4 linked regions of the Neurospora crassa OR74A genome follow. The protein of the gene in region 1 interacts with the protein of each later gene in a pairwise test. Links are inferred from orthologs where the notes say so. Each region holds a gene or a part of one and is shown in the gene's direction. Other genes may lie near its edges.

Region 1 (7,860 bases):
AGGAGTCTGTTGAATCCAAGGCTGACTTGGACAACCCACCGACCTACCAGAAGGCTCATGAAGCTCTGTTGACTCTGCCGGGTGTTGGCCCCAAGGTGTCGGATTGTGTGTGTCTAATGGGTCTCGGGTGGGGCGAGTCTGTTCCCATCGACACGCACGTTTGGCAGATCGCGCAAAGAGACTACAATTTTGGTGGGAAAGGGTCTGCCAAGACCAAGACGCTCAACAAGGCCATGTATGTGGCCGTAGGCGACCATTTCAGGAAGATATGGGGTCCTCAGGCTGGTTGGGCACAGAGTGTCCTCTTTACTGCGAATCTCAAGTCGTTTTCCGAACAAGCAGCTGGGGTAGAGAAGAAGAGGGTGGTGAAAGTCGAAGAGGAAAGCCAGGAAGAGATGGTTACGACTGCTGAGGTTGTGCCCAAGCCCGGAAAAAATAAAGGAGTGGTGGTCAAAATCGAAGAAAGCGAAGAGATGGCCGCCACAACGTCAGTGGCCATGTCCAGGAAACGGAAAACGGTTGCTGCGGAAGTGATACCAAAAGCTGAACCGGACGCCACCGTCCAGACGACAACAACCCGGACATTACGATCCAGTAAAAGGATAAAGAGTCAAGTTTGAGGTCGAGAATAACGCCGATGGGGCTGCTTTGTTACCAATACATACCAACTTGAGCACATATTCCCATCTCCGGATTCATCGCCTCAGTAAACCCACTTTCCACTCCTTGAATACCCGTTCAGTGGTAGGCAGCAGACAGTTACTCCTGTCTAGACGTTCCACAACCTCCTTGATGGCCTCTGTCGGAAGGTTCACCTCCTGGGCATCGCCAGTAAGTGAATCCAGCATGCGGTCAGCCTCCTCTCGGGGAACCAACCGATAAAGCAGTTTCATAGCCGGAATACCACTTTCAGCTCCTGGCCTCGTAACCGTGGCCTCCATGGCAGATGATGTAAACACGATACCACTGTTAAGCACCCATATATGGACAACTTGGTCCTTCCCTACCCCTTCTTCCTCTGTGGTTGCTATGGTCTCTGTGATGGGAAGCAACAGCGACTTGGAGGATCCTGATCGTGCTATGGTGGAAATCAGGGTCGCGGCAAGACACTCTTCAAGTCCTGGGCTGAGGTTGGACACAGAATCGCACGAAATCTGCCACTTTAGGAGTGTGACTGCGGCTGTCCGGAAATTGTAAAAACCGAGCTGGGATTGACAGGAAGAGCAAAACACGTTGAGGCTCCGAACCTGGTTGCTGCTTTCGTCTGAAGCAACAACTTGCCTATCTGGTGATCCATGCTCAGGGGTAGAGAGTGAATACTAAAGAGCGGAAACATGGTCAGCACTAACTGACGAGGGGAGAGGTTTACTGGTGTGAAGAGTTGAGAAAGGATGTTCCTCCAGTTAATCCCAGAGCATTTAGGACTTGGCAATGATCTGGCGAAATGCGGAGGGTTCAGCCTGTCATCCACCGACTGGAAGCGCCCCATCACAGAAGTCAGGTTCGTCGACCACTCAATGCCCCGCATAAGCAGGGGACAGAGTCTGCTTGATTTTGGGCATTTGTATCGGTATCCATGCCATTGAGGGGCCGAGGCCGACTTGGCTACCTTCTTGATGCCCCGACTGCTAAGATTCAAATGGACGCATTCGAGACGGTGAATAGACCAAGTCATGAGCATGCTACATATGGACTTACCGTGATGTTGGAACAGTCCTGCTCGACGAATAACAGCGTTGTCAGATCAACAAACCCAACACCTTGTTGCGCCGAAATGGCCGAGCTCGCGCCATATCCTCGAGCTGCAAGACTCATGTCATCTGCCCTATCGCTTTGCCCGTTGGCATCAACGCCGTTTGACTTGTCGTGGTGGTGATGGTCATGATCGTGGTCACCAGGTTTGTGACAGTGCCAAAACTCCATCATCTCAGCCCAGTTCTCACTCGGGAGGTCTTTCCACACCTTGACAACATCTCGCTTGACAACAACGGCCTGGCATTGTCTACAAACAACTTCGGACCCGGCCTTCAAATCGGTGGCTGTCCAAGTGGACGACTCGGCTGATGATGCATCCGTGTATGTTCCTTGACCCAACGGTAACCTCCAGGAGAGCGCAGAGGCTCCAGGTCTTTGTATTGGCAGAATGGCGCCGCCAAGGGCTACCTTTGCGGGTAGATGTAGTGTATGTGACTGTCCATGGTGTGTGAGCTCGACATTCTCTCCATCCGCTGCCACCACTACTCGTGTTGACGCATCGCTTGCAGAGCCCAGTGAGATGGCCAGCGATATCTGGCGGATATTTGAAAGCAACTCTACATACAGTAGCGGCGTTGCAGGTTGGGATGTCATGCTGGTCGAAGCGAAGATGAAGCGAGGTTGAGAGAGGTGAAATGGATGGAAGTTGAGGGTGTGGAAAGTGAAAGTGCTGCCTCCCCACATGAGCTAAGTGGAAATGGATGGAAGCTCCCCTGCTCCCCACCGCGATCGAAAGCGTCGAGGTCTGGACTGCTTACCTAATGCACCTGGAGCGCCACTTGGAGTGGAAACTTCAGGTGCAGCCTTGCCAAGCCCGTGTCAGCTCTCTCACGGTCACGTCCCGTCACCAGTCGCTGGCCAAAATTTCAGGGAAGGCGTGTGCACCGTACCGCATCCACTGCGCCCGTCTTCAGCCGTGACCTGCATCCCTCTGCCTCCACCGTCTATTCCCTTGCTGATAGCCTCAGTTATACACGACAAAGTGTCAAAACTGTCACCGTCAATTTAGCTGCCCCGTCAGTTACCATACCCGATCCCACCCAACCACCCACGGGCAGCGCCACATCATCACGTCCCGTTTCCTCCCGACCACATACCATCATTCACCCTCGCGGCGCGCTGGACATTCTTGCGACGACCCCGACCTGACATGACACGAGGAGGATACGGCCAGCACCATGTCGGACTCGGATTTTGAGCAGATCAAGAAGCTCCAGCAGGAGCGCAATGCTGCTGCTGCCGCCAAGAGCGGTTCGCGCAGCTTTGATCCTGCCAACCAACGATCCGACAACAGCACCAAAGCCAAGCTGGGAGAAATATGGGACACCGATCTGTATGAGCGCAACACCGGCGACAAGTTTGCGGGCTACCACACCACCCTGCCTGCTGCCGATGGCGACGACGAAGAGATGGAAGATGCCGACTCCGGCCGCCGCCTAGTAGGACAGTACACCGCCACCCGAGCTCAGATCGATGAGTTTGCACGCGGCGATGGCGTCGAGGAGGATGATCCCCTGGCTGGCCGGGGCGAAAAGAGCAACCGCATCACCGACAGGGAGACCGACTACCAGAAGCGCCGATTTGACCGCGTTCTGACCCCTACACGAGCCGACCCATTTGCTGCCAACCGCCAAGCAGGTGCCACTGATGAAGGCGAGAGTTACCGGGAAATCATGGAACGCCGCGAGCTTGAGCGAGAGGAAGAGCGCGTACGGCGCGCCATTGAACAGAAGATGAAGGAGGGCGGTCCGGTCGAGGAGCACCAGCCTACCCTTCAGGATTCCGGTAACAAGGAGAACGAGGAGGCTGGCTCTACTGAAGCTGCGGCTGGTCGGAAGCGCAAGAAGAGATGGGATGTCGCCTCTACAGATGATGCTACCCCGGCACCAGAGCCCAAGAAGAGGTCTAGGTGGGATCAAGCACCATCTGTTCCCGCTCCAGGGGCGCCAGGGGCGGAACCCAAGAAGCGATCCCGCTGGGACCAGGCGCCTTCTGCCACTCCTGTTGGTAATGTCGGCCTAGCTACCCCGATGCACCCTACCCAGACCGCTGTCGTGCCCCCAGCTTTCGGGGCTGATGCGGCCGGTCGCTACGCACCACTCAGCGACGAAGAGCTGGACGCGATGCTTCCAGGCCCCGAACAAGGTTACAAGATTCTTGAGCCGCCACCAGGGTATGCCCCCGTGCGAGCACCGGCACACAAGCTGATGCAGGCTCCGGCCCCAACAACGGGCTTCATGATGCAGGACCCCGACAGCGGACGGATGACAGGCCAGCAGGTGCCAAAGGAGATTCCCGGTGTGGGAGACCTGCAATTCTTCAAGCCCGAAGATATGGCATACTTCGGCAAGCTCACCGACGGAGCAGATGAGGAAAGTTTGAGTGTCGAAGAGCTCAAGGAGAGAAAGATTATGAGGCTCTTGCTGAAGGTCAAGAACGGTACTCCTCCTATGAGAAAGACTGCGCTCAGACAATTGACAGATAATGCTCGCAACTTTGGTGCCGGCCCCCTCTTCAACCAAATTCTTCCTCTGCTCATGGAGAAAACATTGGAGGACCAGGAACGCCATCTTCTCGTCAAGGTTATTGATCGTATTTTGTACAAGCTCGATGACATGGTTCGACCATACGTTCACAAGATTCTCGTCGTTATCGAACCCCTTCTTATCGATCAGGACTACTATGCCCGTGTTGAGGGTCGGGAAATCATTTCGAACCTCAGCAAGGCTGCTGGTCTTGCCACAATGATCAGTGTCATGCGTCCAGATATTGATCACGTCGATGAATATGTCAGAAACACTACTGCCAGAGCCTTTGCCGTCGTTGCCTCGGCTCTGGGTATCCCAGCTCTGCTCCCCTTCTTGCGAGCTGTGTGCCGAAGCAAAAAGTCGTGGCAGGCTCGTCACACGGGTGTCAAGATCGTCCAGCAGATTCCCATCTTGATGGGCTGCGCAGTCTTGCCCCATCTCAAGCAGCTGGTTGACTGTATCGGACCCAACCTGAACGATGAACAGACCAAGGTCCGCACAGTGACCAGTTTGGCCATCGCAGCTCTCGCCGAGGCATCTAACCCCTACGGTATCGAGAGCTTTGATGATATTCTCAACCCCCTTTGGACCGGTGCCCGAAAGCAGCGAGGCAAGGGTCTGGCGGGTTTCCTCAAGGCTGTCGGTTATATTATCCCGCTTATGGATGAAGACTATGCCAACTATTACACCAGTCAGATTATGGAGATTCTGCTACGAGAATTTGCCTCTCCTGATGAAGAGATGAAGAAGGTTGTGCTAAAGGTGATTTCACAGTGCGCCGCCACCGATGGAGTAACGGCTGGGTACCTAAAGGAGCATGTGCTGGACGAGTTCTTCAAGAGCTTTTGGGTACGGCGTATGGCTCTGGATAAGCGCAACTACCGACAGGTCGTTGAGACCACTGTCGACATTGGCCAAAAGGTTGGTGTCAGCGAGATTCTGGAAAGGATCGTAGCCAACCTAAAGGACGAGAGCGAAGCCTACCGCAAGATGACGGTGGAGACGGTTGAAAAGATTGTGGCCTCTCTCGGTGCTGCCGATATTGGCGAGCGTCTGGAAGAACGCCTTATCGATGGCATTCTTCATGCGTTCCAGGAACAGAGCGTGGAGGACATCGTTATGCTTAACGGCTTCGGTTCGGTGGTTAACGCATTAGGCACCCGATGCAAGCCTTACCTTCCTCAGATTGTCAGCACCATTCTTTGGCGTCTGAACAACAAGTCAGCTACTGTACGACAGCAAGCAGCCGATTTGATCTCCCGCATCGCCATGGTCATGAAGCAATGCGGTGAAGATGCCCTCATGGGTAAGCTTGGTATTGTTCTTTACGAGTATCTTGGCGAGGAGTATCCCGAGGTCCTTGGCTCTATTCTTGGTGCTCTCCGCTCCATTGTTACTGTCGTGGGTATCAGCCAGATGCAGCCCCCTATCAAGGATCTTCTGCCTCGCCTGACCCCTATTCTTCGTAACCGACACGAGAAGGTACAAGAGAACACGATTGATCTCGTAGGTCGTATTGCCGATCGCGGTCCAGAGAGTGTCAACGCCCGCGAATGGATGCGAATCTGCTTCGAGCTTCTCGACATGCTCAAGGCTCACAAGAAGGGCATCAGACGTGCTGCCAACAACACTTTCGGTTTCATTGCCAAGGCCATTGGTCCTCAGGATGTCCTTGCAACCCTTCTGAACAACCTCCGCGTTCAGGAGCGTCAGTCCCGTGTCAACACGGCCGTCGCCATCGGTATCGTTGCCGAGACATGCGCGCCCTTCACTGTGTTGCCTGCGCTCATGAACGAGTACCGCGTCCCCGAGCTCAACGTTCAGAACGGCGTGCTCAAGTCGCTCTCCTTCCTCTTCGAGTACATCGGCGAGATGGCCAAGGACTATGTTTACGCCGTCACGCCACTCCTGGAGGACGCCCTCATTGACCGTGACCAGGTGCACAGACAAACAGCCGCTAGTGTTGTCAAGCACATTGCCCTTGGCGTTGTTGGTCTCGGTTGCGAGGATGCCATGGTTCACTTGCTCAACTTGCTGTATCCCAACCTTTTCGAGACCAGCCCCCACGTTATCGACCGCATCGTCGAGGCTATCGAGGCCATCAGGATGGCCGTTGGTCCGGGACTGGTCCTCAACTACGTCTGGGCCGGTCTTTTCCACCCGGCAAGAAAGGTACGGACACCATATTGGCGTCTGTACAACGATGCATACGTCCAGTGCGCGGACGCTATGGTGCCGTATTATCCCAACCTCATCGAGGAGGGCATCGACAGGACGGAGTTGGCGATTGTGCTTTAGGCGATGGGAATCAGGTTAGTCTAGCAGGAGCAAACAGGTTTCTTGTTTCTATGGTTCAGCTTCGTTATGACGACGAGGGTGAACAACGCGACTTTTTATCGAAGCGTCTTGGGGTTTGGGCGCGCTATGCGCCATTGAAGGCTTTACACACATAAACACACGCGCACAACAAAAGAAGGATCAAGTGATGTCACTATGGTTTTATGTGCGATATACACTGTAAAATGCGATCTGCGCCAATGTCATCGTTTGTCGTATTGGTTAGGACATCCAAGATGATGGCTTTCTATGTTGTAAGAGAATGGTGGACGATTGTTCTTAGGTCAGAAAGTAGCTAGGTTGTTACATATGCACCTGTAAAGCTAGGTCAGACGAGCAGATGAGTGCAAAAAAGGATAAATACATAATGACGGAGTTCATCGATGTTCTTTCTTGGACTTCAACGTCAACAATTTTCCATTCCCTCATGAAACTATTTGGCTAGAGGTTGTGACAGATCGTTGACAGAATGACAAGTGTTTTCCTTCTCGTCTCACCTCTGCTTCACCTCTCTTGTCATTCAACAAACACACCACTCTTTTACTAATCTCCATTTACTTACACTAGTCCTGTATCATGTCAGTTCATGTCAGTTCACTCTCCTTCGAGTTTATTTGGTAAACCTCTTGTAGTTAGTGTTTGTCAACTTCTATAGGTGATAGACAACTGATGTAGATTTGGTTGGCTAATATATACGGACGTTCTATTTTTCACTACTAGTAACACTTTATTCCGTTCCAGATCACTCTGAGAGTTCGTTTATATCCTGCCTGTACTTGTCTAGAGACCGGGAGGCAGGGACAACCGAGGCTTCTGCTGCTCACTCTTTCCCGCTTGGTCTTTATCATTCCTGTTAGTATATCTAGAGGTAGGTACCTATCCTCCGGCTCCTTCTTGTATGAGGTAGCTTCCGACCTCCACTCTACAGAAGAGGCAACCCGTGTCTTCTTCCCTTGAGTACCTATGTCCTGTACCTACTGATCTGTTATCTCGCTCGAGCGACACCACAGGAGGATACCTATTGCCTAGAGGTATATATTCTGTGCACTTCCGGTATATGTTGGCAAGCGAATATCGTCCTACGATCTTTTACAGGTTTGACGGGCTCGGCCGCAGTGCACACCGGTTGTACTACAAAGGAAATACAAATCTCTCATGAAACGCCTACATAGAGGTACTCACACTGTCATGATCCAGCTGGTGTTTGGGTTATATTTTCCCTCGAATTTGCAATTCATAG
Region 2 (7,965 bases), about 5.1 Mb from region 1:
AGCGGGGCGGCGGGCTGGGGGGTCTGGTGCACGCGGGATGAAGCGTTCACTCGTTTGAGATTGTATTGCTGGGGCGCGGTGGTTGGTCACCTATACCTTGTCTTGTACATAATTAGCAAGCGGGAGGTGCTGTATACAGGGACGGAATGGGTGGATGGGGACGGGGAGGTGGTCATTAGGATGGAAGCTAGGTCGCGGTCTGTAATGGCCACGGGGGTGGGCACGTTGAGTGCGAGGTAGGGCTCTAGGTTGTTGTGGCAGATTTGAATGGGCGTGGGAAACTGGTCCTGGTTCAAAGTGGACCGAAGCTGGGAGTTGCGGGCTCAGCTGATGAGTTGCGGGCGTTTAACAACCTACAGCCCCTGGTATCAGTGATATTGGGGGGTAACCAAACTTGAATTTGGCCCATGACTACTCTTCGTGTACATGAACTTGAGGCTTTGCGATGCAGTGTACTTCTGGTCCCTTCTTTATTTGGGTTCCTAGTTGGACACCCACATTCGTTCCTTTATTGATCCATAAAGATTATCCGATGATTCGCCTCGCTTCCCCAACAACCTTACAAATACATTTCGGTGCCACTCGAACAACAGAGTGCGACGGAGCATCGGCAACGAGCCGGCTAATTGTGTGACGAACGAAGCTCATGGAGGTCGCTCGGAGCCCATATAAATTCACATGAACCGAACCGGAAAAGGGGCGTCGAGGGGCGTGATAACCACACTCAAGCGGCAGCATGAGCGGCGGCGGCAGCAGCTCTCTCACTGAGGTATCTCTCCTTATCGACTGCAGCGTTGTCGACGTAAGGCTGGGTGAAGCATACGGTTGTTAACACGGTGATCAAGTCAGGCAAGAACGTCGTTGCGAACGGGGCAAGAACCTGTCGCACTACGATGGACAAGAGGGAAATGGATGACGAGGAAGGATTGAAAAGACCTACCTGTTTTGCCGCATCGTCCATGGACTTCCACTCCTCGGACAAAGCCTTCGCTATTTCCGGTAGGGGCTTGCCAGCATAGAGGGCGTCCTTTTGGCGCGACATGCAAAAGAACAAAAAGGCACTCCTTAGGCGCTTTGGGCGCCGGTCATCGGGGATAGGATGGACGACCGAAGTGACACCGAGGCGCTTCAGCGCATGACGGGCATAATTGGCGTCCTCGATCTCCATGGGTGTCTTGGTGAGTACCCACGCTGCCCGCGTAGCCACGCCATCCTGGTGAGCCTTGTCGGCCTTGGCTTGGTAGCGCTGTGTACAGAAAGATCGCAGTCAGCAAAGGAACAGGACGAAGTATGGTACAAACTTGAGAAGTAGCTGAAGGGCGGCAGAGGAACATCACGGGATGGAGCTCCATGGGGCAAACTTACGGCTTTTTCAGCGTCCGACAGCTCCTTCCACTGTGCAGCCAACGTTTTAAAGTACCCTCTCCGCGTCGCGATATCATCGCCTTCTTTCAAGACGTCCTTCATGTGCTCACTGATGTACGCGGACCAAGCAGGAACTCGGTGGGTTTTGGGATCTTCTTTGAACAGCGCCCGCTGCTTCAACAGTCTGATCCTGAGCTTCTTCTTCTGCTCGTCCGTCAGCGGTGCCTTCTTCTTGGGCGCCTTGGGCTTCTTGGGCGCAGCCTCCTTCTTGGCTCTGGGCGTCTTTGCCCTTGCGCCGGCTCCTGTAGCGCCCTCAGCGGCCGACTTCTTGGACTTTGCGGCGGCGGGACGAGTCTTGTTGGTCTTGGTGGCCGTAGCAGCAGTATCGTCCGATTCGGCGGCGGTTTTCTTGGCGCGAGTTAGGGCATAACCGCGCTGCTGAAAGACGACGCCGCTGCGGCGAAGGAAGCTGGGAGCAGCGGAGCGGGTGGTCGAGCTGGTGGACGCAGCCACGGCAGTACGAACGACCAGCGTGGTGCCAGCGCGCAGCTGACGAGCCGTCGCGAGCGCAATCTGCGAGAACATCTTGGACTGTGGCGGCGACAGTGAGGTCGGGGTGGGAAATGGTGGGAGGGAAGAGGGGAGAAGCTGTCGCGGCGCAGGTCAAGCAGGAACGTGTCTTGATGCGGGGCCAATTGCACAAGTTGGAAGTGGAAGGGAAGAGTGAAGCAATAGTGACAGCCGAGAGCCCTGTCCAAGCGGGAAGCTGGAGTGGGTCGGGGAAGATCAGTTTTACGCAGGATGGAGCCCGCACGGCAGACCTGCGGAGGGGAGGGCTCGTGCCCAGGCACTTGTGGATGTCGAGACTTGCAGGCGTAGTGTATGCGTAGTGTATGCGTAGTGTACACTACCTAAGTGGGTACTAGGTGTAGCGGTACGCAAGGGGACAGGTACCGGATGCTGCTTCAGTTACTTACCCTAAGCGTGGTCCGATCTCGTGGGCTTCCAGAAATGGAAAACCCCGTCTCAAGAGGAATGGTACTAGTCATAAGGTACGGACCGTTTTTGTTCGACAGGAGCTGTATTTTGACCTTCGTTCACGCAAAATATGTATTTCTCTGGCTTGAGGTACTTGAAGGTCGTGCCCTCGTCAACGTAGACATACTACGACAAGACAGTAAAGTTACAGGTAATATACGTCACATCCAATACCCAGATCAAGCTCCACAGGTTTGACCTCCATGGCACCAGTGGAGACCCCTACCTCAGCGCGAGCTTCATCCTTAAGAAGAGACACCTCCGCTTAAGCTCAGTCTACTAATAAGTTATACGATACACACAGACGGAGGTCGAAGAGTAAATGAGATGTACTCGGCAGCAAGTAGGCTTCGTATCTGCGCGAAACTTTACATGCTGACAAGGTACCTTTACTTGGAAGAGATACCCGTGTGATTTACAGTTGCGTATATGTATTTCTTATACCACACAGGCGGGCAAGCGCACGGTCCCTTGGGAGTTTGGGAGTTGCAGCACCCGCTGGGCTTGGCGCTTCCATTGGCAGGTGGAACCACAAGCGAAGCCCAGGCAGCCGCAGAAGGCCTTCCCCGGGGTGGCCACTGCACTCAGCAGCCCATTCCCGGCTTGGGCTTGCAAACTACAAACTTTCAACTTCCGCCTTGACGGAACCCAACGCTTAGTTGCCTCTTCGCTTCCTTCTCCACAGCCCGTCTCGCATCTTTACAGTTTCTGGCCGCACCGCCGCACAACGCCTTTCCGACCTTGGAACTGACGCTCATACCATCGGCCGGATCGAACACGACGGAGGGCAGCCGAGTGCGCAAAGACCCTCTGACTCGCTAACTGTGCATACCACGCGACTCGAAGTACCTCTCACCATCAGTGACATTGCTGAGCCAACGTTACTTCCAGCAGTATGGCTCGGCTCAGGGACTCGCGCTCACCATCTCCTGCAGGAAGTCTCTCTGCGAGAAAACGAAAAGACGACGACCGCCGTGACCGCGACCGTCGCGATGGCCCTGTCGACCACCGCCGCCGTTCTCGCAGCCCCATAGACGTAAGTCGACCGTCTCCCCGACTCCCGGTGTCGTGCTGCTCCCGAGAACCCCAATGGCTGACACGTGTGATATTCATGCAGCGCCGATATCGCGACCGGGATCGCGACCGCGGACGAGATGGAAGGGACCGCGACTCTTATCGCCGTAGGGATCGATCTATAGACCGCCGAGATGACGACTACTATCGCGGCTCACGTCGTGATGGTGACCGCCGTCGGTCACGCGATAGAGGCCTAGACAGGCTTCGTTCCCCAGACCGGCGTAGGGACCGAAGTCGGGATCCGGACCGAGAGTACCGCCCTCGGCGAGACGATTCGCGTGATCGGGCCCGAGTGCGTCGTGAAGGCACTGCTGAATCATCCTCACATCGTCGTGATGACGTTCGAGCACGCGACCAGCCGAAGCCAGGCAACACAACAGCCAAAGAAAACGAGGTACGTTTTGGAGGACCCTACATACAAGTATCCCCTTTTCCGGACCGTTCACTGACGCAACTGCATTCTGTAGCCAGCTAAGTCTACACCAACCCAACCGCAAACAGAGGCGGAGAAAAAGGCTGAACGACTACGAAAGCTGCAAGCGATGAAGCAAAAGCACGCTCTCAAGGAGGCAAAGGAAGCAGACGTTACCGCTGGGCTCACTAGGAAACTCTTCATGGAGATGGATCAGAGAGCCAGCGGCGCCGTAGTCGGCAGTGGTACCAACAGTCCTGCGCCTGCGAGCCCGGCAGCCGCCGAGTCCCCAGCAAGCCCTGCCCCCTATGTCGGCAAGTTTGATCCCAAAGCCATTGCGCGGAATGCTAAACCAGCACGTGCCAGTTCCCCGGTAAGGTTAGGCGACGTGAAGCTAGGTGATGTGAAAGTAGGTGCCCCGGTGGCGGCGGCGGCGAGTATAGCTGGCCAGGGGAAGGGTGCCGCATCGGGCAAAGCAGGCTTACTGCAAACTGGGAGGCCTATCAGTACTTTCGGGTTCAACAAATCCGCCGATGCCCTTAAAACGACAGCTAAACGGAAGATTGACATGGGAGATGAAGAAATCATCAAGCGCAAGCTTGTCAAACTCCCTGACCTGGCCCTCGAGAATGCTGACGATACCCCATACGCGGACGACGACGTGGCGGAAGACGCGGAGAAAGATTTCGACGTACTCCTTGCCGGCACCGAGGAGGACCGCGCTGAAGCCCAACGGTTGCTGCGCGAGCGGCGTGAGGAGCAAATTCAGAAAGAGAGCATGGCTATGGAAATCGACAGTGCCCCTTCTAATATCGAGGTTGCAACCGAGCCTGTGGCGCAAAATCCGACAGCGATGGATGTAGACGACGAAGTCGACCCACTCGATGCCTTCATGGCTGGACTTGAGCAGACAGCCTCTGGCGAGGAGTCGCACTCTAAAGCCGATACGCTGACCGAAAAGAAGAACGGCAATATTCCGCCTGAGGCCTACTTCAGTGATGATGACTACGGCTATGAGGCAGATGGGACCGACCCCACTTCCATTCTCGCCATGGCTTCCAAAAAGAAGAAGAAGGATATCCCCACGATCGACTACAGCAAGCTCGACCTGAATCCTATTCGGAAGAACTTCTGGGTTGAGCCGTATGAGTTAAGTCACATGAGCGAAGAAGAACTGGCTGAGTTGCGATTGGAGCTTGATGGCATCAAAGTGTCCGGGAAGAACATCCCCAAGCCCGTTCAGAAGTGGTCTCAGTGCGGCCTCACCCGTCCTATTCTCGATACCATTGAGAGCCTTGGGTTTGAAAAGCCTACGCCGATTCAGATGCAAGCTCTGCCTGTCATCATGTCAGGGCGTGACGTGATTGGCGTTGCAAAGACGGGATCTGGTAAGACAATGGCTTTTGCCCTGCCGATGCTCCGCCATGTCAAAGATCAAGACCCCGTTACCGGCGACGATGGTGCCATTGCGCTTATCATGACCCCGACCAGAGAACTCTGTACGCAAATTTACTCGGACTTGCAACCGTTTGCAAAGGCTCTGAAGCTTCGCGTTGTCGCTGCTTATGGTGGAAACGCCATCAAGGACCAGATCGCCGAGTTGAAGCGCGGTGCTGAGATCATTGTAGCCACACCAGGTCGTCTAATCGATCTTCTTGCGGCCAATGGAGGACGTGTAACAAACCTCAAGCGTGCTACTTATCTAGTCCTTGACGAGGCTGATCGAATGTTCGACATGGGCTTTGAACCCCAGGTCATGAAAATCTTCAACAACGTCCGCCCAGATCGCCAGACCATCCTCTTTTCTGCAACCATGCCCAGGATTATCGACGCGTTAACCAAGAAGGTCCTGCGCGACCCTGTCGAGATTACTGTGGGTGGGCGCAGTGTCGTAGCACCCGAGATCACACAGATCGTTGAGGTCATGGACGAGGGTAAGAAGTTCAACCGTCTGCTAGAACTCCTTGGAGAGCTTTATGCGGACGACGACGATGTCCGTTCCTTGATCTTTGTGGAGAGGCAAGAAAAGGCTGACGATCTATTACGCGAACTCTTACGGCGCGGCTACGGTTGCATGTCTATCCATGGAGGTAAAGACCAAGAGGACCGAAACTCGACCATATCTGATTTCAAGAAGGGTGTGTGCCCCATCCTCATTGCAACCTCGATTGCGGCCCGTGGCCTGGATGTCAAGCAGTTAAAGCTCGTCATCAACTACGATGCCCCTAATCACTTGGAAGACTACGTCCACCGCGCTGGGCGTACTGGACGCGCTGGTAACACGGGTACGGCAGTCACCTTTATAACCGAAGAGCAGGAGAATTGCGCATCTGGCATTGCCAAAGCGTTGGAGCAGAGTGGCCAGCCCGTTCCAGACCGGCTGAATGAAATGCGCAAAGCATGGAAGGAGAAGGTTAAGGCTGGTAAAGCCAAGGATGCCAGTGGGTTTGGCGGCAAAGGCCTTGAGAAGCTCGATAAAGACCGTGAGGCCGCTCGCATGCGTGAACGCAAGACCCACAAGGCGGAAGGCGAAGAGGACGATGTCAAAGAAGACGCTCCTGCAGAAGATGGCGAGAAGAAGGACAAGACCAAGGTTGCCATCCAGTCCGCTGTATCTGCCATTGTGTCACGCGATGCCTCCAAGGCGGAGACCGAGGACAAGCACGCCATCCCTGCGGGTGCCGTCAAGGCCGGGCATCACGCAAGCAGCGGCAAGAGCGGAGGGGCTCTCGACAAGGCGGCGTCCGCCATCAGCGAGATCAACGCACGTCTCGCCCGGGCCGGTCAGCTCCGGCCTGGCCAGCCCATTGACAACAAGGGTCCCGACGCGGGCGCGTTCCACGCAACTCTCGAGATCAACGACTTCCCCCAGAAGGCTCGTTGGGCTGTCACCAACCGCACCAACGTTGCCAAGATCCTCGAAGCCACGGGAACGTCGATCACCACAAAGGGCAACTACTATGCTCCTGGAAAGGAGCCAGGTCCGGGTCAAGAACCAAAGCTGTACATTCTCATTGAGGGTGATACCGAAGTTGTCGTTGGCAACGCGCTGTCGGAGCTTACTCGTCTGCTTAGAGAGGGCACGATGGCGGCGGCGGATGCTGAGAGCCGTGCTCCTGCTAGCGGTAGGTATACGATTACATGATTGTCTGGGGACCATAGTGGGTGTTTCAAGTGTAAAGGTCAGCTTCTCACTTGACGGGGTTTTTACCTGATTAGGGTGACATGTACACACGTGCGAAGAGGTGGTGGTTGGCGATATAGTATATCTACGATCAGGTAGTTGTTCATAGATGCATTATAGATTGATACGTCCAGTGTTCTACTCACAATAATCACAATTTGCGTATGAGAGTGAAAAAAAAAGCGTGCTGTTCATGCTTGGGGCAACACCCAAACGAGCCATCGTCAACCACTATAAGCACCACCCACTTTCAAAGCGATCCAAACTCCCAATCAACTTGAACTATCCCTTCCGCAAAATCAGTCGCGCACCGTCAAAGAACCACCTTAATTATAACTCCTCGCCTCCGCCGCTTGATCAGCCGCCCTTCGCGCTCTTTCCCGCTCACTCTCCTCTTTGAGAAGCGCATCGCGCGTCATGCCCTTTTGCGCTCGCAGCTTCTTGGAGAGGTCGGCACCTGACCCTTGATCTCTTTGAAACCGAGCCTGTTTGTTTGTTTGTTTGTCAATGTGTGCATAGGTTTATTGAATGGTAAGTGGTGAGTGGGTAAGTTGTAGCTTCCTCGTGACTCGTTTGCGGTGTACTTGTACATTGATTTTTCTCTTGTTATATATAGAATGAAAAGTGAAGATGAACGGACAAGGAACCACGGACGAACCAAACAGGGTGGGATGGGATACTAGGTAGGAAGGATGAAATGAAATAAGATGGATCGATGGGGACTTGACGGAAATCGGAACGTACCATAGCAGCCTGCGCAGCTTTGCTCTTGGGGTCATCGCTTCCGCCTTCTGTTCCTGCTTCTCCTGCTCGCGGTCCTTCGGATGCGCCCCCGAGAGTCCTGCCGCCACTCACACTACCGCCGGTTGTCCTTCCCGTTGTCACATTT
Region 3 (7,987 bases), about 5.0 Mb from region 1:
CTCTCTATGTTTCCTCGTTCTTCTGTAGCTTTTTTTTTGCAATCTCTTTTCTTTTTCCTTTTCTTTTCCTTTCTTTCACCTTTGTTCTTTTTTTTTTTTCTTTTTCTTTTGCGTTTCTTTTTGTCTTTTCTTGGTCTGGTGTTGTTTTTGCCTTTTCTTTTTCTCTCTCTCCAGGACTTGAGATAAAAGAGATTAGATGGAGCTCCACCCCCAAGTTGGGATCAGGTATGTATTACAAGCCAACGATACCCTTGACTACCTTGACTACTTCAGAAGATGTCCTAAACCAACATGACACGATAGGATGCCATTCTACTTGTTGACGGTCATACTGGCAGACAGGTATGTCGTGACACAACCGGTCTGGACTTGGCCTGCAGCTAAAGACAACAGACGAACGGACAAGCAGCGGCCCAACTGTTCTTTGTGTAAGGGCCGGTACTTCTGCGTGTCTTCTATGTTGTTTGTCTTCAAAAGGCATGCCCGGTGAGTGTCAGACGTACGCACACCCTTTAAACATGGCCATGCCGAAGGAAACCAAACCGTATACCTAAATTATTCGAGCCGTCTGTCTTCAGGATCTCGGTATGCCGAACTGAAGCAGAAGGATATCATCGATGTTCTGATTAGAAACACACATGAGATTTCGTAAGATCTACGGATTCCTACGTTATAGGTTCACTAACAGTCGTAGTGCATGGGACTGGTAAACTCATTCCCTCTCCTATGAATTGGTTTAGGTTAACAGTGGAACATCAACACGATAAGAGGATGCATGTACAGCAACATAACATCAACCAAAGTACAGGAGAAAAGCCTTTGTCGCAAATGGAATGTGATCACTTCCCTGAGTTTTTTCCCCCTAGCAGCATGACCCTCAAAAAATTGCCGAGTCCATGATATGATTATGATCTAGAATGACATGAGTTGTGCAAACTTTAGCTTAGCCGGTATTAGCTCGGATACTTCTCCCTTCAGAGTATCCAACTGACCAGGGACACACCGAGCCATCCCAACGGGATTGAGGTTAGGGGACCACGCTTGGTCACCGGCGTACGCTTTCATCGACCGGCTCGTCCACCGTCTCCATGTACAGGTGTCACTTCGTCGCTCCCGTATCTTGTCTCTTGCTGGGGGGCAATGCAGGCTTCTTGAATTCACCGGCGCCACCCGAGTTGCCAACTTGGGTGAATGTGCCGCCCTTAAACCAGCGGTCCTCGTCTGCTTTGCGCTTCCTGCTAAGCTCGTATTGCACCTTTGGATCAACGAGCTCTAAGCCTTGCATAGGCGTAAACGCCAACGACGATACCGTTCCGGCGGTGGCGCTGCCCACCGTGGTACCAACGCCTGACGTCCGCAAGCCCTTGCTGGCAGCCAGATTGATGTTGCCAATGCCGCTGCCACCGCCAGCAAGCCCTCTGAGAGATGATGCGGCGCCGCCATTGAGCGAGCTGGCGCCACCCCAGCCCTTGCTCTTTGCACTCAACTTGGCACGCGTGCGCTGGTCGATTTGCGTGACCCGTAGACGTCCATCGTCACGCTGGCCGATCATGCCCATGCCAGCGGTAGCGTCGCCCGTGCCATAACCGACTTCCTTCTCCTCTTTGCCAAAGGCCATACGGTTCTGAGCCTTGCGCAATTCCGTCATGGCCGTGGCCTCCTTGGCTTTACGAGCGCGTCGGCCACCACGCTTTCTACTCGGCTTGTCGTCGGGTGCCGGGAGAGCGCGTGCGCCCTTGCTGTTTGGCTTTTGCTGCAACTTATCTAGGCGGTCTAGACATTCGTCCTTCAGTCGTTCGCCTTCTGACCCATCCCTGAACTGGTGAAAGCAGTCGGTGCGCGCGCACATGACAATCTTGTTTGCAAACATTTTCATAGCCTGTTTCTTGAGGTCGGTTGGAATCCCACGAATGATGTCTGACTGATAGATGAAGCCCTGCTGTCTGATGCCGACATTGGTGGCAAGAGCAGAACTTGTCTGTTTCTTAGAGCCCCAAGCCGGGAGGTTGCAAGCCGGGGTTTTGGAAAGGCCAGTCAGGCCGCCGGCTTGGTTAAGAAGCTGTGCTGCTGTGAGGGAACCGATGAGAGCCGTCAAGTTTGGCGCAAAGATGTTCATGCGAGACTGTACGTACTCAGTGAGGGTCTTCTTAGCCTTATCAAGATCGACCACCATCAAGCACGCTTCTGTGACGCGCTGGATCTCATTCTCGCCCAGAAATTGACCCTTGGAAACCGTGGCTTCCACCGTGACAATCATCAAGGTTGGTCCGTCAAGAACTGACTTGAGGGTTAACCCCAGAGGGTTATCGGTGGAAAGCTGCAACGCTTTCATGCTCTCCGAGTCCATTGGGGAGTTGCCCAAGATGGCAACAACCTTGCAGTATTCGATTGGGTTCGGTAATAGCGACTCGAGTGCAGCAAATCTGGCGGAGAAGTGATCCCTCACAAACTTGTGGACAAGGGCCACCTCACTGTCTATCAGAGTAGACAGTCTGTTGGCGTTGGTCAAGAGGTTGTATTCCGGGTGATCTTCGACATGGCCGACGTCGTTGGCCTGAGCGGGTTGTGCTTGATAGTGTGCGATTTTCTGCAACGTTCGATCCAGACTGTCAGGGCTATTGCTCAAATAAGATGTAAACGCTTTTCCATGTTCAAAGGGAGCACCGCAAACGGGTATAAGGGAACTAACCTCGAGTACTGGCTTCAATGACTTCATAAGAGTCGCAACAGTTCGAACATCTCGCACTCCTCCCAGATGCATCTTCTCAACCTTGGCTTTTGCTTCCTCGGGATCTTCTACAGCATTCGAGTCGTCGGCGCCGACGCCACCCATAGCTTCGTCTTCGTCCTCGCCCTCCTCGTCGCCCATGCCTTCATCTTGATCCTCATCATTGATCGGTACATGTGCGTCGTCCACGCCGGAGCCTCCAGTCGTGTCAACGCCATCGCCTAGAAGACCATCGCCATACTCCTCGCCACCGGCCTCGGAGCCAGAGTCCTCAAAGTCCTGGAGGAGCTCGTCGAGAGTAGACGACATGTTGGCAAAACCCTGTTTCCTGGGCAGAATATTCGGCGACTGTTCGGGTCTCAAGGTGGTTAGATTCAGGAGTAAACGGGACAGTCGCTGATACAGGTACAACAGCTGCCGTGTGCCGAAGAAAGAATGGAAAAGAGTTCGATGTGTTGTCGACTTGTTTTGGTTTTGGGAAGAATGGAGGCAAGAGACCGCGGCGTTGCATCACGGCCTAGCGTACTGTACTGACCTCGTTGCGCCAGTGCTTTGCCTGCCGGTCGTACACAGTGCGGCTTGGTATGTCGCCGATAGCTGCCAGTGCAGTGAGTAGATAGTGTCAAGTAGGCGTAGTTCGCAGCCACACCCAATACAGCGGCCTTCCAGCGGCTCAGCGTCGTCTTATGGGCGAACCTGCTCGCTGAGGTCGGACATGTACTACCTATCAGATGTACAATGACATGATGAGCGAAAAGTGTCCATACCCACTGTGCAGCAAGGTTCAGTAAGTAGGCAGGGGCATCGAGCCACGGTCCATCAATCGCAGCGCGTCCTCAACTGAGTTCAGTGGCTGGCTGCTGTTGCGTCCAGACCCCAAAATCTCATTGAGAAACCGAACTTACAACACCACGCCAACATCTGCAGATCGCCACTTTTTACGCCCATCTTCACAATGGAGTCATCGCGCGGCCCGCCACGGGTGAAGAATAAAGCCCCTGCGCCTGTACAGATCTCGGCCGAGCAGCTGCTGCGCGAGGCCGTCGACCGCCAGGAAGTCAACCTCCAGACCCCGACACAGCGCTTTGCCGACCTCGAGGAGCTCAAGGAATACCAAGGTCGTAAGCGCAAGGAGTTTGAGGACTACGTGCGGCGTAACCGAGTTCGTCTATCGAACTGGCTCCAGTATGCTCAATGGGAGCTAGAACAGAAGGAGTTTGCGCGGGCTCGCTCTGTGTTCGAGCGCGCTCTGGATGTACATCCCAACAATACTCGTATGTTTGTCTAAACTCAAAGTGTCCATGTGCTGTTAAATGTGGCGCACATCAGTCGCTAACGATATGTCCAACAGAACTCTGGATCCGATACGTTCAAGCAGAGATCAAGAACCGTAACATCAACCATGCACGCAATCTGTTGGACCGCGCTGTCACGCGGCTGCCCAGAGTCACATCTCTCTGGTACCAGTATCTCTACGTTATGGAGATGCTCGGCGACATTCCGGGTACCAGACAAGTCTTCGACCGGTGGATGAAGTGGCAGCCAGATGAGCAGGCGTGGAGTGCTTATATCCGTCTAGAGAAACGTTACGGCGAGTTCGACAGGGCAAGGGAGATCTTCAGGGCCTTTACCGCCGTCCATCCGGAACCGAGGACGTGGCTCAAGTGGGCCAAGTTTGAAGAGGAATACGGGACCAGCGACACGGTCCGCGAGGTCTTCCAGACAGCTATCCAGACAATTGCCGAAACGCTAGGCGACGATGCCGTTGACGAGAGGATATTCATCGCCTTCGCCCGGTACGAGGCCCGTCTGCGTGAGTATGAGCGGGCCCGTGCCATCTACAAGTTTGGCCTCGACAACTTGCCTCGGTCCAAGTCGATGACGCTACATGCCCACTACACCACATTTGAAAAGCAGTTTGGCGACAAGGAGGGTGTGGAGGACGTCATTCTTACAAAGAGGAGGAGATTGTACGAGGAGCAAGTCAAGGAGAACGCAAAGAACTACGACGTCTGGTTTGACTTTGCGCGACTCGAGGAGAGCGGAGGAGATGTCGATCGGACCAGAGAAGTCTACGAGCGAGCCATTGCTCAAGTACCGCCAACCCAAGAGAAGCGACACTGGAGGCGGTACATTTTCCTCTTCCTCTTTTACGCGATATGGGAGGAGAGGGAAACAAAGGATATCGGGCGAGCCCGTCAGATCTACGACACCTGTCTGAACCTGATCCCCCACAAGAAGTTCACTTTTGCCAAAGTGTGGGTTGCCAAGGCGCACTTCGAGATCCGACAGGGCCAACTAACGACGGCCCGCAAAACCCTCGGCCGCGCCATCGGCATGTGCCCCAAAGACAAGATCTTCAAGGAGTACATCCTCCTCGAGCAGAAGCTCTACGAGTTCGAGCGCTGCCGCACCCTCTACGAAAAGCATGTCATGTACAACCCGGCCAACTGCCAAACATGGATCAAGTGGGCCGAGCTGGAACGTGGTCTCGACGATCTCGAGCGCACCCGCGCCATCTTCGAGCTCGCTGTCTCGCAGCCGATCCTGGACATGCCCGAGGTGGTATGGAAGGCGTACATCGATTTCGAGGAAGAAGAGGGCGAGTACGAGCGGACGCGTGCCCTGTACGAGCGCCTGCTCGAGAAGGCCGATCACCCCAAGGTCTGGATCAGTTACGCCCAGTTCGAGATCAACATACCCGACGAGGCCGAGGAGGAGGAAGAAACGGAGGAGGAGGTGGAAGAGAAGCCTGTTAGCGAAGAGGCCAAGGCACGTGCTCGCAAGATCTTTGAGAGGGCGCACAAGAGCATGAAGGAGCGCGAGCTCAAGGCCGAGCGTGTGTCGCTGCTCAACGCGTGGTTGGCGTTTGAGAAGACGCATGGGTCGGCGGAGGATATCGAAAAGATTCAGAAACAAATGCCTAGGAAGACCAAGAAGAAGCGTAAGCTGGAGGATGATACTTGGGAGGAATATGTCGATTATATCTTCCCGGCTGATGATCAGCAGACCAAGAACTTGTCGAGTCTGTTGGCCATGGCGAATGCTTGGAAACAGCAGGCCGCGGGGGGTGCTGGTGGCGCTGCTGTCGATGAAGCGGCTCAGGGAGGGAGCAGCTAGTGTAGGAGATGCAATGTTATATTAGGCCGCAGACCAAGAAGCCCATAAACTTTTCCCCCCGAATACAGTAACCGATATGGTGCGGATCTTTACTCCCACACATATATACCTCTTGAGTTGTTCTCGGTATTAAAGATCACATAAAAAGCCCAAACCACGATAGAAACCCCATACTTTGATGAAAGGTGTGAATTATATTTTAACCAACTGCTTGGTAGGTTGTTCCATATCCCGTACGATTAAATACGGCTTTGTACATGTTGGGATACTCTGAGGATATCAGGTCTTCCTCGGCCGTCGAATCTCATGGTGGTCTTGACGTCGATTTCCAGCACATTGTATTCGTGGGTCCAAAAAGTATCGTTTATCTCCATGAAAGAAACTGACTACCGGCCTTCTCTTTATACATATATCGTGAGAATTCGCAAAGAGGCATACATTGTTTATCATTGTCATTCTCTCAACCTCTCGGAATTGATCTGTTTCTTCATCATCCTCATAAAACCCAACCTGTTGACCATCATTATCATCATCATCATGAAAAGGAAAGAATAGGTAGAAAAAAGTAGAAAGAGAGCGAAAACATGTCGTTGTAGCTGCCGCCCAGCAGAAGGTGTAAGAAAGTTGGAGTAAGGAGTACAGAGAGTGGGCAAGGGAGGAACAAGCTATGCATAGATGCCGAAAGATAGGAAGTGTAAGGATGTAGGGGCCGACATAACCGCATGTTGTATCCTTTGGCAGCCAGGCCAACCAACCACACGCCAAGTCTCGTGAGATCCAAACATCCATGTGTGTGACTTGCGAGCCAACCAGAACAGCTCAGACAGCCAGCGTGCGGCGCGTTTCCGTTCCGGTACCGGCCGTTTCGGCACCGACCAACAACCGTTTTCCCATCAATCATTTCGCTGTTGCAGACTTGCAGTGGTTTGAGTGCGCGTCATTCCTCACAGTTCCTGTTTGTCGAGGTTCAACATGCGTGCCCGTTCAGTCGTACAACGCAAAAAAACCTGCTTGCAACCCCTGCCAAGGATCGCCACATTTCCCTGGATTTCGGGGTCCTCCTGTCTTTTTCGGTTCAATCGGTTCAGATAGTGGAGACTATGTTTAGCGACGGTGATCTGTTTGCGCAGAAAGCGGGAGAACAATTAGTCAACTGGTTAAACAACTGCATTTGATAACTTTTCGTGTATGTGATGAAAAAGGAAGAAAAAGGTCATGTTCATCGTAACCAAAGCATATCAGGAGGCGCAACAGCAACTGTAATAAGCGATGAGGCATCGCAGTTTGGAAGATTTCCCCTTGCGCATGTGTCCAACCAAGCAGAAGGAGGGGCTGGGCTCTAACGGTCAAGGTGTTCGTCAGACCAGCATGAGCTCAAGCAAGGCACACGCTCCCTCGCTCAGCTCAAGTTGAGCAAACGCCCAGTAGTGACCAGCTCTCTTGTTGTTTCTTGAGGCACCGCGTAGGATTGGGGATGCAAGAATGCAGATTGAATGTCGGGTCAAATTAGAGAGCACGGGTGACAGACGACGATAAAGCGGGCAATGGCAAACCTGCCCATAACTCATCTCCTGCCAGGACTGCTGCCCGATGGAGGAGATGGATTGCGAGGCATGGCACCGTATGGATTCCCATCAGTATAATAGGGACCATCCTCCAGGCGGGTCGCCTTGGGCGGCGCTGAAGAAGACCAGTTGTCAGCCCTGCGTCTGCCGAAGTCGACAATGTCGCCACGGCCGTCCCCGTCAAAGTCATTTGCCTGGTTTGCCGTTGCCCGCAGTCTTTCGAGCCGTCTCTGATGCCTTTCCTCTTTCTTCTTCTTCCACTCATGCGTCTCGTGCGTCACCTCACGAGCCTCCTTCATCTCCGAGATGGCGCCCTTGATGCCCAGGGCCGCGATGCCGACCGATGCGGCATCTTGCAGCATGGCTCTCTGCTTGAGCTTCTTGGCTTCTTCCGGACTCAATTCCCCTTCCCTCACTGCCTTCTTACGTACGCTGTGCTTCTCCACGCTTTGGTAGATGTTGTGGGCAGCGTGGATGGTCGCCACAGCTGCCAATCCTGTAGTAATCATTTGCTTACCTCTCATTTTCTTGGTTCTCTTCCTGTCATCGTCCGAATCTCCCAGGTCGGATGAGG
Region 4 (8,143 bases), on another chromosome or scaffold:
TGGTGTTGAGGACACAAGATGCGCCTGATCAGATAAACGGTGGCCTTGTCAGAAAGGGGGTCTGTCCGCTGCGCGTTGGACTGGGGCGACGGCGATCCCCGTTTGGTCCGTGACCTGGTGCCGGCCTTCAGGTTGTTTGTCGACGAAGATGGTTCTGAGCTCGTCCTGGGCGACTTTGGTCGTGGGGTTGAGAGACGAGTGGGAGCGGGGCCCTGACTCTGTGCAGTGACAGGGACCGCAGGGGACGCAGAGGGCGCAGAGGGCGCAGAGGGCGCAGAGAAAGTGGGAGCAGCAGCAGCAGCAGCAGCAGTCGAGGCAGTTGTCATGACGGGCCAACTAGCGGTGTCCAAGCATTGTGCCCCGCGCGCACCCGCTCATATCATAGCGCCGTCCACTCTTTATGACAATTCAGAGCCTGGCAGCTCTTTGAAGCGCGAGAGGCGGAAGACAAGAGAAAATCGTCGAGGTGTGATTGTGCGTGTTGCGCGGTGCAGTGGTTGGTGAACAGGTGGTGCTGGGTGCATGTTGATAGGTAGCGAGTGGTCCGGTCTTGTGTTCCGTCCACGCCTGTCCCGCACCTGTGGTGGATGGCCGGCGACCCCAGCCAACAGCGGCAGTAGCCCAGGTGATAAGGAAGCACCCTGCCGCTTATCAGCCAATACCTGTCCGAAACGGGTAGGCGGTGAGGTTAGCCAAGACCAAGCATGGTCGTTGCCCGTAGCATGGAACCGATCACCCCTTGAAGTCGTCGAGCTTCCCCTGAATGAATGTCAACAAAGCACACACCTTTGACTTACGCAGCTAAGGCGGCACCGCATCCTCGACCGCTTTTAAATTCCTTTAACTCTAGTCAAGTCGGTGCGAGTCATCTTCCAGCATGTGGGTAGTTTTCGTTTCTTACCAAGGATACACACTGCTGCTGGCAGGTTAGGAATCTCCACGCCTGAAGTTTGTTATCGTTGCACTTCGCTTGACAAACGTTGACCGAAATTTACTGCGCGGTGCAAGGTGTTGCGTGAGACGGACAAAAAGTGCTTGAAAAAAAAAAACCGTCTGTCGTCGATGAGGCTCAAGCTGTCATCACCCTTGCCACAGCAGACTGCCGTGACACAAGGCACTTGCTGCATGCGGCCCGAGCCTGACCGTTGCAGATCAGTGCCTCCCTAGGCCCACAACTACGAGATTATCAGACTGTGCAGTCCAAAAGATTTTGAACACACACCTTGGATCCGACATCCGTAACATCCAGCCCGTACCGTTAGAAACGGAAAAGATACCACAAAGTCTTGAAGTGTAAAAAGCCGATATGGTCGTGACAATGCGTTTGTTCGATATTCCTATTATACAGTCTGGGCTCCTAACAGCCCGGTTGCCAACACCTACTACATCTTACAGGATGCAACGACCAGCATACGCATGGCTCATCTATACAGCAATGACGTTGTCTTTGACGGTAGCCTCGTACCTAAAACAAACTCTGTTAGCTCTCGAACCGTATCTAGTTGTGCGGGGGAAAAAAATCAAGAGAGCACCAACCTCTTTCCGCGGAAGGCCCACACACCCCAGTTACCGGCACTGACGTCCTGAGGGTCAAGATCATTCAGATCCCACCGGAGACTGCGGAAGATGTTCTCGCCAGGCTCCATGAGAATGTCGAATTCACCCTTGGCCTTCTTGTTGACCCACTCGACATCACGCTCCATGTCAGCCTGCGTGTAGCCCGTAGCAATGATAGGAGCTTTGGTCTCGAGAAGCATAGGCAGCGTTTCCTCCCATTCGTGGGAGCTTGCCGGGTGGCCCAAACCAGGGTGGAAGAGGACGAAGCAGTCGAAGTAAGGATCGTGAGGAGCGAAATAACCCGTCTTGTGGATAGTATGGTAATAATCCACAATGGTGCTGATCTTCATGGTAGGCCATACGCGATCCTCCACAACCGCACCGTAAGGATTCTCGGGAGTACGAGGCGGGAGGGGAAATTCGTCATCGCGGTTCATCATGCTCTCGGGTCCGATGAAAATCAGATGGAGTCTCGACAGGGGGAAGAGATGGGCCAACTGCACCCAAGCATCTCTAGGCAGCGACGACTCAGCGCGAGCACCGAGAATAAAGACACGCACGGGGGGCGCCTCAGGCCGAAGACCCTTGATAGACTCGTTGCCTCCAGTTTTGGGAGGATGCAGGGTATAGCGAAGTGCCGTCAAACTCTTTAAGCCCTCGACCGTGAGGCGATTCCGGATGTGGTACGGGCTCAACTCGTGAAGAACGCTGCCGATCGTGAGAGGATAGGTCAACAACCTAGTCGCCTGTCTCATGCACCGGTCATCGTTGACAGCTTCGAACTGACGGGTATACATGAACGTGTCCCAGTTGGTCATGTTGACCATGGCATCATCCATTTGCGGACCGGCGTAGTTGAACTCGTAGAAGTGGCGGCCTGAATGGAGGTCATGGTCATCTTCATTGATCTGCCGCAGAGTGTCGCATATCTCGAGATGTTTCTCATAGTCGTCCATCCAATGCTGCTCGCTGCAATATACCGGGATGCCACAGTCAGGGCACTCGAAATCGACGTGCTTCGGCGGCTGGGAGCCAGACTCGGTATCGACTTGGCGGTTGGTCTCGGAGAACTGCCCTGGGCGGTGGCTATGGTGGGGGCAGCTGGCGTGCTGTCTTATGAAGGCCGCGCGCTGGCGGATCTTGGGGATGGGCGAGTTGGTGAAGGAGTGGAAGAGGTTGTCCTGCTCGAGAATCGGCTTCGAGGGGATACCACTACCGGCCAGATCCTCGTTGGTGGCAAACGATGTCGAGCTGCTGGCCTTGGTTCTGGACTGGGCAGCAACGGAAGGAAGCTTGCTTGTGATCGAAGCCTGGATCGGACGCGAAATGGTTCTGGTGATGCCGCCGACTTGCGTCGAAGACGAGGAAGAGCTCTGTGCCCCTCGGATGGAGCTGACGGAGCGTTGCTGGGCTGACTGCAAAAACGCAGCACTTTGCCTGCTCTGTCTAGCTGTGAAAGTCGAGCATTGCGAGCAAAGCTTGGACAAGGCCGGACGCACGGCGCGGTCTGCTGGGAGGGCCATTGGGAGTTCAAGAGGTCGGATGATGTTCGATCGGGAATCTGGATCGCCGGGACTCGATGCGACTTTCCAATTGACTTTTTGGCAGCAGCTCCCAGCAATCCGGGGTCCTCTCCCACCGACCCGACTCGCTACCTACCTCTACTGTGCCTAAGTGCCTAGGCGGGTCCCGTCCATCGAATGACCCACTTTGTTCTTGCTTCACCAGCCACAATTGTGCCTAGGTAAGCTCCGTCTGACGTTACGTATGCGGGTCAGAGAGCTACGAGCAAGCCACAGTCGCGAGGCGGGAAGATGAGTGGGCGGCGTCTACGACCTACCGTGGACCGAGTCCGACGTACCGCTGCAACCTGAGTGACTGGACTGCACCAATTGGCCAGAAATACCATCGACGGCAACCGACTCCATCTACCTCGCCAGAGTGCCAGAACACTGGACCGTGTTTCATTTTTTTTTGCCGTGTTACAATCATCTACTCGATATTCAACTCTAGATTTTCGACAATCTGGCTGACTTTCGCGCATTGGTCTTCTCAACATAACGACGGCAGCATTGACAGAGCACAACCGAGTCCTACCCACTTGCAAAAACAACCTCGAGAAAGCAGAGCCGCGCCGGCTGTCTGCGCCCAGTTGCAGCCATGGCGACTACGTCGAACATGTTCCTGTATTCCTTGACCATCCAGCCACCCACCGCTGTCACGCAGGCTCTGCTTGGTCAGTTCTCGGGAACCAAGGAACAGCAGATTCTTACGGCGTCTGGATCGCGTCTAACCCTCCTTCAGCCTGATCCCCGTCAGGGCAAGGTCAACACCCTGTTGTCTCATGACATCTTCGGCATCGTACGCGCCATCGCGTCGTTCCGTCTGGCCGGCAGCCACAAGGGTGAGTAACCTCCCCGCCACCTCCTGTGTTGGGCAATATAGTGATTCTGGATCCGTTCCCCAGGTGCTTCTGGGTAGAGGGGCCACACGTATGGTCACGCACCATGCACCCAGGCCTACGAGTCTTCTGGGGACTTGAGAGACTCATTCAAATCGGTAGCGGGATTGTGCTAAAACCCTGTGCCACCCAGACTACATTATCCTCGCCACTGATTCGGGCCGCATTACGATTATCGAGTATCTCCCCAAGACGAACAAGTTTCAGCGCATCCACCTCGAGACTTTCGGCAAATCGGGCGTCCGCCGAGTCATCCCCGGCCAGTACTTAGCCGCAGATCCAAAGGGAAGAGCATGCCTCATTTCGGCACTCGAAAAGAACAAGCTGGTCTATGTTCTCAACCGAAACTCACAGGCCGAGCTTACCATCTCGTCACCACTGGAAGCCCACAAGCCAGGCGTGTTGGTGCTGTCTCTTGTTGCCCTTGACGTTGGTTACGCAAACCCCGTTTTCGCTGCGTTGGAACTGGACTACACGGACGCGGACCAAGATCCTACGGGCCAAGCACGAGAAGAAGTCGAGACACAGCTGGTATATTACGAGCTTGATCTGGGCCTGAACCACGTTGTACGCAAGTGGTCAGATACTGTCGATCGCACTTCTTCACTTCTCTTCCAAGTACCCGGCGGCAATGACGGTCCCAGCGGTGTCTTGGTGTGCGGCGAGGAAAATGTCACCTATCGGCACTCGAATCAAGAGGCTTTCCGCGTCCCCATCCCTAGACGCAGCGGTGCCACCGAAGATCCTCAGAGGAAGCGGGTTATCGTCTCTGGCGTTATGCACAAGCTCAAGGGAAGCGCGGGCGCCTTTTTCTTCCTTCTTCAGACGGACGATGGAGATCTCTTCAAAGTCACCATTGACATGATCGAAGATAGTGACGGCAACCCCACCGGAGAGGTCAAGCGCCTCAAGATCAAGTACTTCGACACGATACCAGTAGCCACTAGTCTTTGCATCCTGAAGAGCGGCTTCCTGTTCGCCGCTAGCGAGTTTGGAAACCATCACTTTTACCAATTTGAAAAGCTCGGAGACGATGACGAGGAGCTCGAGTTCAGCAGCGACGACTTCCCGACAGACCCTACCGCCTCATATAACCCGGTGTACTTCCACCCCAGGCCACTTGAAAATCTGGTCCTGGTTGAGAGCATTGATTCGATGAACCCTCAGGTCGACTGCAAGGTTGCGAATCTGACGGGAGAGGACGCGCCCCAGATCTACTCTGTCTGTGGAAATGGGGCGCGGAGTACTTTCCGCATGTTGAAGCACGGACTCGAAGTGTCTGAAATTGTCGCTTCGGAGCTTCCGGGTACACCTTCTGCTGTATGGACGACTAAGTTGACCAAGTACGATCAGTACGATGCTTATATTGTGCTGTCATTCACAAATGGAACATTGGTTCTCAGCATTGGTGAGACGGTAGAAGAGGTCAGCGATAGTGGTTTCTTGACTACGGCGCCCACCCTAGCTGTGCAGCAAATGGGTGAGGATGGCTTGATACAAGTTCACCCCAAGGGCATTCGCCACATCGTCCAAGGTCGTGTCAATGAATGGCCTGCACCTCAGCATCGCTCGATTGTTGCTGCCACGGCAAATGAGAATCAGGTTGTCATCGCCTTGAGCTCTGGCGAAATCGTCTACTTCGAAATGGACTCGGATGGTTCGCTCGCCGAGTATGACGAAAAGAAGGAGATGTCGGGTACCGTCACATCGCTGAGCGTCGGTCAAGTACCGGAGGGCCTGAAGCGAAGCTCTTTCCTAGCTGTAGGATGCGATGATTGCACAGTTCGCATTCTTAGCTTGGACCCTGATTCAACACTCGAGATGAAGTCCATCCAAGCTTTAACAGCCGCGCCCTCGGCTTTATCAATCATGTCGATGGAGGACTCGTTTGGTGGATCCACGCTCTATCTCCACATCGGATTGCATTCGGGCGTTTACCTCCGGACTGTGCTGGATGAAGTGACGGGCGAACTGACAGACACTCGTCAAAAATTCTTGGGTCCCAAGCCTACCAGACTTTTCCAAGTATCAGTTCAGGATCAGCCATGTGTTCTTGCGCTGAGCTCGAGGCCATGGTTAGGCTACACCGACCCACTTACTAAGGGCTTCATGATGACGCCCCTAAGTTACACCGAGCTTGAGTATGGTTGGAACTTCAGTAGCGAACAGTGCTTGGAAGGCATGGTTGGTATTCATGCCAACTACCTAAGGTCAGTTTATTCCAAATTGTTTGGCGTCCAGTTATGTGATGAGGAAAGTGAACTCTATGCCCTTGGGTAATGAGGCGATTGGAGCAATCATATGTGATTGTACCAATTGTTCCTTACAAATACAACCCGATACACCCATCCATTTTGCACGTCCTTATCTTCACAGACACTGACATTGAGTGCAGAATCTTTTCAATCGAAAAACTGGGCGACAACATGATTCAGAAATCCATTCCTTTGACTTACACACCTAAGCACTTGGTCAAGCATCCCGAACAGCCATACTTTTACACTATCGAATCCGACAATAACACCCTCCCCCCGGAGCTGCGGGCAAAGCTTCTGGAGCAACAAAGCAATGGCGACGCAACGGTACTGCCGCCAGAGGACTTTGGATATCCCAGAGCCAAAGGTAGATGGGCATCGTGCATCAGCATTATCGACCCTATCAGTGAGGAACCGAGAGTCCTCCAAAGGATTGATCTTGACAACAATGAGGCGGCAGTCAGCGCGGCCATTGTACCTTTTGCCAGTCAAGAGGGCGAAAGTTTCCTGGTTGTCGGCACGGGCAAAGATATGGTCCTCGACCCACGTCAATTTACCGAGGGCTACATCCATGTTTACAGATTCCATGAAGACGGCCGGGACCTGGAGTTCATTCATAAGACCCGAGTAGAAGAGCCGCCTTTGGCACTCATTCCGTTCCAAGGACGTCTGCTTGCTGGCGTCGGCAAGACACTCCGTATCTACGACCTCGGTTTGAAGCAACTGCTCCGAAAAGCTCAAGCAGATGTGACGCCCACTCTCATCGTCTCCCTACAAAGCCAGGGTAACCGCATCATTGTCGGCGATCTCCAGCAAGGCATCACGTACGTTGTCTACAAGGCCGAGGGCAATAGACTCATTCCCTTTGCTGACGACACCTTGAACCGCTGGACAACCTGCACCACCATGGTCGACTACGAATCCGTTGCCGGCGGCGACAAGTTCGGCAACATATACATCGTCCGTTGCCCAGAGCGCGTCAGCCAGGAAACTGACGAGCCTGGATCAGAGATCCACCTGATGCACGCCCGCAACTACCTTCATGGCACACCCAACCGCTTGAGCCTCCAGGTCCACTTCTACACTCAGGACTTGCCGACCAGCATATGCAAGACCAGCCTAGTTGTCGGTGGTCAGGACGTGCTGCTCTGGAGCGGCTTGCAGGGCACTGTCGGTGTTTTCATTCCCTTTGTCAGCCGTGAGGATGTCGACTTCTTCCAGAATCTGGAGAATCATATGCGCGCTGAAGACCCGCCGCTTGCCGGCCGTGATCATTTGATCTACCGGGGTTACTATACCCCCGTCAAGGGTGTGATCGATGGTGACTTGTGCGAGAGGTTTAGCTTGCTGCCGAATGATAAGAAGCAGATGATTGCGGGAGAACTTGATCGCTCGGTGAGGGAAATCGAGCGCAAGATTTCGGTATGTGTTCCCTCAAACCCCCTTGAATTTCGAGAAACAATTCACTTACTAACCTGCTTGCTTTGTCTAGGATATCCGCACCCGGTCTGCCTTCTAAACTTGAGTACATCGTTTCTGGGTGAGAAGTAATGGCTGCGAGCTTATGGTTTAATGTATATGAAACTCCTTGCAAAGAAGCGCGTCGTTTTCACAGACATCTGGGATGGATCAAAGCCTTGTTGTAATGTTAACTTGGATTACTGCTGTTGATTCAGCTAGGCGCTCCGGTGGTGGTAAGTGGTTTAGGCGTCAATTGTATGTACGCCGTTGTGCTTAGATTTAACGATGGAAAGAAGAGACAGATTGGTACGTGGCTAAACAAAAAGAAAAGAAGAGCCATATTGCTTGGCAATATACAAAATTTTGGGTACACAAAGCATGGCATCATAACTGCTTACGATCCAGTCTT

What was found.
Region 2: the proteins of NCU03042 (region 1) and NCU02696 interact in a two-hybrid assay, tested with the Saccharomyces cerevisiae proteins (3 studies listed by BioGRID). The link is inferred for Neurospora crassa OR74A from reciprocal best matches to the Saccharomyces cerevisiae genes HSH155 and PRP5.
Region 3: the proteins of NCU03042 (region 1) and NCU02717 interact in a two-hybrid assay, tested with the Saccharomyces cerevisiae proteins (2 studies listed by BioGRID). The link is inferred for Neurospora crassa OR74A from reciprocal best matches to the Saccharomyces cerevisiae genes HSH155 and CLF1.
Region 4: the proteins of NCU03042 (region 1) and NCU00396 interact in binary tests that used the Saccharomyces cerevisiae proteins (3 or more experiments, as listed by UniProt). The link is inferred for Neurospora crassa OR74A from reciprocal best matches to the Saccharomyces cerevisiae genes HSH155 and RSE1.

Annotation. Positions count from the first base shown.
Region 1 is NC_026501.1:8,341,516-8,349,375, reverse strand, and holds NCU03042 (U2 snRNP component prp10), read left to right. Parts: upstream 1-2,592; 5' UTR 2,593-2,933; coding exon 2,934-6,581; 3' UTR 6,582-7,048; downstream 7,049-7,860. Other genes in the region: NCU03040 (N-glycosylase/DNA lyase), read left to right, coding at 1-620; NCU03041 (hypothetical protein), read right to left, coding at 696-1,319, 1,699-2,349. UniProt on the Saccharomyces cerevisiae protein: Contacts pre-mRNA on both sides of the branch site early in spliceosome assembly.
Region 2 is NC_026501.1:3,229,290-3,237,254, forward strand, and holds NCU02696 (pre-mRNA-processing ATP-dependent RNA helicase prp-5), read left to right. Parts: upstream 1-3,000; 5' UTR 3,001-3,298; coding exon 3,299-3,439; intron 3,440-3,520; coding exon 3,521-3,874; intron 3,875-3,947; coding exon 3,948-7,037; 3' UTR 7,038-7,220; downstream 7,221-7,965. Other genes in the region: NCU02694 (hypothetical protein), read left to right, coding at 1-240; NCU02695 (hypothetical protein), read right to left, coding at 725-808, 941-1,246, 1,366-1,950; NCU02697 (uncharacterized protein), read right to left, coding at 7,403-7,561, 7,821-7,965.
Region 3 is NC_026501.1:3,297,684-3,305,670, forward strand, and holds NCU02717 (pre-mRNA-splicing factor clf-1), read left to right. Parts: upstream 1-3,584; 5' UTR 3,585-3,683; coding exon 3,684-4,002; intron 4,003-4,079; coding exon 4,080-5,848; 3' UTR 5,849-6,052; downstream 6,053-7,987. Other genes in the region: NCU02716 (pre-mRNA splicing factor), read right to left, coding at 1,100-2,587, 2,690-3,037; NCU02718 (hypothetical protein), read right to left, coding at 7,413-7,987. UniProt on the Saccharomyces cerevisiae protein: Involved in pre-mRNA splicing and cell cycle progression. Required for the spliceosome assembly by promoting the functional integration of the U4/U6.U5 tri-snRNP particle into the U1-, U2-dependent pre-spliceosome.
Region 4 is NC_026503.1:3,705,063-3,713,205, forward strand, and holds the start of NCU00396 (pre-mRNA-splicing factor rse-1), read left to right. Parts: upstream 1-3,435; 5' UTR 3,436-3,717; coding exon 3,718-3,961; intron 3,962-4,024; exon of another isoform or gene 4,025-4,151; coding exon 4,152-6,228; intron 6,229-6,413; coding exon 6,414-7,695; intron 7,696-7,765; coding exon 7,766-7,792; 3' UTR 7,793-8,143. Other genes in the region: NCU16682 (PXA domain-containing protein), read right to left, coding at 1-326; NCU00395 (mRNA processing protein), read right to left, coding at 1,426-1,465, 1,537-3,080. UniProt on the Saccharomyces cerevisiae protein: Involved in G2/M transition. Required for pre-mRNA splicing and endoplasmic reticulum (ER) to Golgi secretion pathway. U2 snRNPs associated protein required for the pre-spliceosome assembly.